2 linked regions of the Coturnix japonica genome follow. The main gene of each other region encodes a partner of the protein of the gene in region 2 in a complex. Links are inferred from orthologs where the notes say so. Each region holds a gene or a part of one and is shown on either strand. Other genes may lie near its edges.

The links.
Region 1: the proteins of PTH1R (region 2) and PTH are in contact, whole or in part, in a cryo-EM structure (PDB 9JR3), measured with the Homo sapiens proteins. The link is inferred for Coturnix japonica from reciprocal best matches to the Homo sapiens genes PTH1R and PTH. Residues at the interface, in NP_000307.1 of Homo sapiens: Val31, Met32, Thr33, Lys34, Glu35, Gln37, Ile38, Leu41, Glu111, Trp112, Asp113, His114, Ile115, Ile135, Tyr136, Asp137, Phe138, Arg146, Arg162, Thr163, Ala165, Tyr167, Val171, Leu174, Thr175, Glu177, Glu180, Arg181, Phe184, Leu187; in NP_000306.1 of Homo sapiens: Ser32, Val33, Ser34, Glu35, Ile36, Gln37, Leu38, Met39, His40, Asn41, Leu42, Gly43, Lys44, His45, Leu46, Asn47, Glu50, Arg51, Val52, Glu53, Trp54, Leu55, Arg56, Lys58, Leu59, Asp61, Val62, His63, Asn64, Phe65.

Annotation. Positions count from the first base shown.
Region 1 is NC_029520.1:11,844,893-11,848,379, reverse strand, and holds PTH (parathyroid hormone), read right to left. Parts: upstream 1,707-3,487; 5' UTR 1,651-1,706; coding exon 1,565-1,650; intron 794-1,564; coding exon 520-793; downstream 1-519. UniProt on the Homo sapiens protein: Parathyroid hormone elevates calcium level by dissolving the salts in bone and preventing their renal excretion. Acts by binding to its receptor, PTH1R, activating G protein-coupled receptor signaling.
Region 2 is NC_029517.1:3,290,702-3,294,526, reverse strand, and holds part of PTH1R (parathyroid hormone/parathyroid hormone-related peptide receptor), read right to left. Parts: intron 3,101-3,825; coding exon 2,959-3,100; intron 2,556-2,958; coding exon 2,514-2,555; intron 1,789-2,513; coding exon 1,426-1,788; 3' UTR 1-1,425.

The sequences.
Region 1 (3,487 bases), on a different chromosome or scaffold from region 2:
TTCATGTTCACACTCTTTAATCCTCAATTATTACTGTGCAGCTTTTGCATGTTCTTGACATTATCTGGTTTTAGGCTTTCTTGTGAAAATCCAAAGTGAATTTAAGTCTGCATTTTGCTTAATGCAGTTATATGTTTGTTTGCAGTACAAGTAGGCCTACAGATTGCAGTCAAATAGTCCCCACATAGGTGTGGTAGAACTGGTCTTAAGTATTTTTTCATCTTTCTTATTCTATTGTGGTTGGTCATTGTTGCTTTTTGTTTTTTATTTAATTCTCTTACAAGTTAATGAGTTAGATCAGCCAGTTAGAAGATACCCAAGAGTTAGCAGCAATGGCCACGGATGGCCTGTAAATATATTTTATTATCTAGTTGTGAAATACTCATTTCAATGGGGCTACGGTCTGGCATGGAGCCTTTAATCCTTATTAGATTAAATAAAAAAATAAAATGCCCTAATTGATCAGTGATCTACAGACATGTGCTTACTTGGACAGTTATAATGCTCTTGGTTTTTTCCTTATGCCTTAGTTTTAAAGACTACGTTCATGTAAGATTTGTCCAGGTCAATGGATTTCTTCTGCATTGCTGCCCGCAAATGCTCAGGGAGCAGCCTCCGGTTTCTTATCTCCCCCAGGACAATATCCTCCTTGTTTCGAGGCCTCTGGGTCCTGGCGTCCTCAAGGGCACTGTGCACATCTTGCAGCTTCATCTGAAGCCAGTCCTGTCTCTCCACAGTGTGCCGATGTTCTCCAAAGTTATGCATTAATTGCATCTCACTCACTGATCTCTTCCTGAAAGAGAGGAAAGGACTCATAATGGCTTTCTTAAATTCACCATCTCAAATAAAAATCCAGATTTGGGATCTTGTGTAGGATACTGTAGCACAGAGCTGTACAGCTCACCTTTCTCATTTGTAACGAGTAGGATAACATCTGGAGTAGAGAGGGAGTATGGATGGTGATTTGCTAATTGAAACATATCTGAGTGAGAAGGCATCAAATGTGGGAAGCAGTCCAGTTTTGTGATAGTGTTTGGCTATGTCTTTATCATTTCTTTTACCTGTTGGGGTTAAGCTTAGGGCTTAAAAGACAGTAGTTAACTGGTTAAGGCAACTAAGTACAGTATTTGTTCAGAGGCAGTTTTCTTTGAACACCATGGCAAGGAAGCATGATTTCCTGTGCATTTTTGTCTCAGTGCTGATTGATGTCAGTGTCTGAGGGTGAGTTCCAAGTAGGCTGTCACACAATAAAAATGTTCACCTGCTAGACCCCCTTCAAGCATCTGCTGATAGATGCGGGTTACCCAATGATAAATTTCTTAAAAAACAAACAAACACTTAAATGATTATTCTTAATCTCCTCTTTCCAAAAAGCATTTAAAAACTTGGCATGTTTTTGAGATCTCTACTGCTCTATCTAGAACTCAGACTTTTGCTGGCTGGGCTGAGGGGTTCAAAAGTGGGACTGGAAAGATTAAAGTAAACCGGTACTCGAGCTGACTGCATTCTTGAGAATAGTTCACATCATTTCACAAACTTTGGAAGCATATAATAAAGTACTTACATCATTGGTCTACCATCAGAGTTGGTAAAAAGACATAAGGCATATAAAATCATTACAGTCTTGGCCAGATTGTTTGTAGAAGTCATTTTTGTCTGCAGAGATGGAAGAGAATAAATGTATAGATCAGTGTTTCTAGTAATTCTTTGAATTCCAATTAAATTTAGGTTAGGAAAAAAGTTATAGAATGACAGCAGACAACAAGAGGCTTTAAAAACATTCTTTCCATGAAATAGATTGCAGCAAAGGGAAAAAATGGTTCTAATACTGTTTCTTTTGAGAAATTCTTTGTAACTTTGTAGGCAAGTCTGAAAGCTTCTGTCAGCCTTAATTGCTTTGCATTATCATCATTTAAGTACTCACAGTTTGGATAACAGGGTGGAAGGTGCCACATCCTTTCAGCAGCACTGTTATTTATCTTTTGCATTTGATATGCTTTAAGTATGTTGAAATACTCGTGTATTGCTATGCAGCTGAAAATTTGGGTTCCTTTATATGTCTTGAAAAGTGAAGTTGCATTGTGTTTAGAATGAGGGGGCTGCCACTCTTCTGGGCAGTTCTGCACAGAGGCATAACTTTGAGTTATTTCCTTTTTCCATTTAATCACGTAAAATAAATCAGAGCCGAGCCTCCTATATTTTAGTGCTAATCCTGCGTTGTTAGTATGAATTCCACACTGCTTTGTGTGTCATCAGCAAAGCTGCTGCCTAGTACATACATGAAGAATATTTATTACCAGTGATGCTACAACTGACTGATAAGGCACAGTCAAAATTTCTGTTTCCAGACTGAGTTTTCAGCACTTACTGCTGGGAAATGCATCTTTTTTGCTATAACTTAAGAAACTTTATACAGAGTAACCGAAACATAAGGAAAGAAAACTCCAGAGTGTGATGTTTTACGGTATTTTCTGCAGTTTTATTTTAGGGCAGAAAAGCATTTGCTAAATGGCATCTGACATGTTAATATGAATGTGGTCCTAGCAGTCCATCTAACTCAATATTACATATACAGGAATTGGATTCACTACATTCTAACTCACTGTCTCAGATGTACTCATTTCAAACATTTGGTTTAGATAATAAAACAGTTTGATCATGCTTGTATTAACATTTATTTTCAGGCTACCTTAAAAATAAGGCTAAGTAATAAAGCAATGATTAAAATCATCTAGAGAACTTGGAAATAAAAAAAGAGAGATATACTCACCAGATACTGCCCTGCACAGGGTATGTCGGCAGATGGCTGGGTCTTGATGTCAAGTATATTTAAAGACCACTGAATTGGTTTAGTGGACCCCTTAAATCTAACTTTAAAATAGAGCTTCTAAGTAACTTAGGAGCCCTTTTATTGTCTCAGTTGATGTCACTCTCAACACACACCCTCCTGACCCTCATGTACCCACCCTCGGATGCTTTTGTTAATTTGGCATTTACACGGAAAAGGAAGGTCTCAGCAGAAAGAAAATATCCTTGGTAGCTCTGAAGGAGTTTGACTTTTGAATTCAGATTCCCAATTACTCATAGATTTGTGCCCAAGATAATGTGGTATCTGAAGCTGTTGGAAGGATTTGCAAGGACAGCTTTGTGATGTTAAATGCAGGCGATGGGGTCAGTGAGCTACAAGTGCAAGATTAAAAAAATATTGAGAAGTTAACATATATGTAATAATTGTCAGAAATAACAATAGTAATTTTAGGTCAGGAACTGGAATTCTTTGCTAAAGAATGCATTGGAGAGCAGCTGAAACCCCAAAATGATAGACAAACATGTTTCTAATGAAGCTGACTGTATTGAAATGTTGTTAAAATACAGTGTCAGATCCCCATTGCCCTGTTATACCTACAACCATGAATACCTTTCTGTTGCTCTAATGTGCTGGATAAAATGAAGGCATTTGAAGAGGCTGTGATGTATATCAATACTG
Region 2 (3,825 bases):
GCATGGGGCATCCACAGCTTCCCTGGGCAGCCTGTGCCAGTTCCTCTCCAGTCTTTGATTAAAGATTTTCTTCTGAACATCTAACCTAAATTTTCTTGTGCTCTTCCCTTCCCAGGCAACCCCAATCATATTTCCTCTTCTAAGCATCCCTAGTCAAACTCAGTGACTTTGGCTGAAATTATACGTAATCACACCAGCTAAGATGCTGGCCAGATGTCTGTATGTGTGTGTATGACTCATTTGAATGTCCCAACAGCTAAGAATGGGAAAGAAAGAAGATGCTCAGAAGGTGACTGTCCATGAGCCATCTCTGCGCTTACATCCAGCAGATTTTGCCCTTGAACCTCATAAAGGCAAGTTTGCCTGGCTGTATCCAGCATCTTGTGTTTCTCCTCATGAATGTTTGGATTAGTGAGAAACAAGTAATTTGGAGGGGGAGGATGAGAAGACATTTGTAACTTTATAGGAACGTGACTCATGTCTGTTTCCATGAGCTTCCACGAAGAGGGAGGCTGAGATAGTGACCTTCTGAGCTGGTCTTAGCTACACACACACAGGCACATAAGCTGGAGATCTGCAAACACCCTTCCCCATCTCAAACTTCCTGGGAGCAGGCAGAGTGGGCCCATCTCCACTGCTGTATCTGGAAGACTGAAAATGTCACACATTGTGATAACCACATTTCCCATCTTAAAATTGCACTGTTTTCTGGCTTGCTATGATACTCAGGTCAAGGAAAGAAGAACGCAGCTTTTTGCCTTTATCTAATGACCATGAGCTGTTAACCCTGCCCATCCCAGAGGAGCTTTTTGCCAAGGAATGAGTATACCCAAGGGAAGAACATGTCCCAAGTTGTACCAAGCTGTCCATGTTAAGAACCAGGTTGCAAGAACGGGCAGCTATGGTACCTGAGGGTCCCTGGTCATTCTCATGTGTGTTACCAGACAGATTCAAAAAGGAAAGGGCAAACCAAATCAAAGACACTGATGCCCAGTGTGGCTTGTACCCTTGCAAGAAGTTGGCAATGTACACTCCCCGCAAGACTCTTGCTTTACTGGGTGAGATTCCCATTCTCCTTGGCTGCCCAAGCCTCCAAGAAGTAAAAGGACCACGTGCTGCTGTGCAACCCTCCCCAAAAACTCTCAGCATCTCTGTTGTTCAGCAGGTGGCAAGGCCCGTGGACAGCCCTGCCTCCATTAACACTGGGGAGACTTAGATCACTGGGTATATGTGTGTGATCACCTGCTGGCCACATTGATGGCTCACTTTTTCTTTTTTTTTTTTCTCATATAACTTAACCTCTCATTCCACAGAACAGAGAAAAGGTATGGAAACCCTTGGCATCCATTGTGTGGCCTGATATTCTTGCCCACTAAATGCTCTCCAGGAACCTTTTTCACCCTTTTGCTGCTTCTCTTCTTCTCTTTACATCACTGTCTCTCTTTCTTCTTCAACAAGTACTGTGGGTCTGTCTCCATCATAAAGCCCAGAGCCATTCAGGTACTCCTCATCCTTGTTGTACTGCTCTGGTCCAGAAGAAGGCATAGAGTTTTCAGATATAGAGCCATTTTTTACATAACCTGGTAAATTCCGGTGTCCATTGAGGGTCCCTGGTATAAGTCTTGTATTGAGATGAAGGGCAAGTGCCCCTCTCGTGGCTACATTTGTGATGCTGGTGTGGGAAACCATTGGTCCATAACTGTAGGTTGTGCTCCCACTTCGTGCTTTCCTTTTAAAATCAAGTGCTAGTGTCCACCTGCTCCATGACTTCTTTATTTCTGCTTGGACCTGAGAGACAAGGGGGAAAAAAAACATGAGTAGAAGGAGAAGGGGTGAGAGAATCATCAGGAGGAGGTAATATCTGCATGGATGGGAATTCTATGGAGGTTGAAATTGGAACAGACATCTTGGGTTCATGCTGCAGGACATAAGGAACTTATCTGTAGTTGCATTTCACCTTTAAATCCATAAACTCTGCCCATAGCAGCTTCATGTTTGTTCAAGAACATAATTCAGTGTGCATTCACTGATCAGCTAAGTTTTTACTGTGCAGCTACAGAAGGGATTAAAAGAAGCAAAGGCAGCTCAAAAACAATCTGAAAATAAAAGCACATCACTTGAAACAGAATAAAAAGATCAACAAAGCTCGGCCTAACAAAAGAGCTCGATGATTAGACAGCTATTCTATCAATCCGCTTTTACTCCTGACACAGCTTTGATATTAAGTGGCACTAAACAGCACTTGTGCTGGGAAAAGGAAAAAAAAAACACTTTTTTTCCCCCATTAGCTACTTCCAGTAGTTCATCAATTGATGCAGATTGATCTGTATTTCTTTTAAGACCAAAATGAATGTATGAACTTTCTGTGTAGATGGACAGATCTTTCACTGAGTGCAGACTAGGGCTGCTTCTCTAGAAAAAGAGGGATACACTGATGTGCATCCACTTTACCACCCACCATTGCAACTAGCTTAACACAGGTAGGAGATAATTAAAAAGCTTATGACTCTTACCTCTCCATTGCAAAAACAGTATATGATGGCAACAAAAAATCCCTAGAATGAAGAAGAAACAGCACATTAATGTTAATCGAAAGAACTGAGGAATGAATTCACAGGACTGAAAGACAGCTTGAGAGAAGTAAATCTGAATAAATTTGAAACAACATGTCTCTGGATCTCTACCAGCTTATGTCTGGTCTGGAGCTACATGGATATTGTGGGGCAAGATATCTTTCAACAGCAGCACACTAACCCTTTTTACGCTCTGTTTTGCAAATATAAAACATACCCGCTGCTAAAATATTGTCAAATGATCTTGTGAATGAAATTTGGCATACTGTAAACACAACACTGTTTCCAAAGAGAACATTCTGCACTCTCGTTTCCCTCTTCTCTGTGTTGAATATCTCATGGTCTGTGTCCATGGTTTAACAGCTACAACACAGTTAGCAGTTACCTGGAAAGAGTTGAACAGCATTTCATAGTGCATTTGAACTTGCCAAAGAATCCCTGACACATCTGTGTATGGCATAGCCATGAAAACAATATAGTGAACGCCAAACAGAGGCATAAGGACGAGGGTAGATTTCAGCAGCTTCCTGTAGCAACAAGGAAAGAGAAAGACAAAGTCAGATGGAATGAAACTCCCAGCCAGGCCAGTCCATCCTATACCTTGGGTGTCTGTCATGCATAATTTCATTCTGTCTAAACATGCACCCTTAGCTAGTCCTGTATATCTTACATTTCCAAAAGCATTGTGTCCAACTGCAGTTTCAAGCTATTTCTTCCCTTATGACTTGTGACACAACCCCATCCATCCTTCAGCACATCTCCCTCTCTACACACGTTTCTGTGTGATGCCAATGTAGGTACTGGAGATGAAAGCACCAAGACTTCTTTGCCTCAGACTATTCACTATTTTGGGACAGAAACATGGAAAGAAGGTGGAGAGGTGACATGGACCTAGACCACTGACTCCAGCTGGACCTGTTTGGTCAGGATTGGACCAGATGATCTCCAGGGAGTCTCAGTCTTTCTGTAATGCTGCAATTTTATCTATCATCTGCTCACTGAAGCAAGACATAAAGGCCCACTCTGGGTCAGTGCCTTCTGTGAAATGGTAGGGTAGGGAGGGAAGTGCACCTAGGAGCAGAATCATGCTAGATACCAAGGGGATGATGCAGTATGGGGTAAGGAGCAGATCATCACATCAGGCATTTCAGACTGCAGCATCGCAGAGAGGTGGTGGATGCCCTGATTCTGGGGACATTCAAGGTCAGGCTGGATGGGGCTCTGAGCACCTGACTGATCTGTGGGTGTCCCT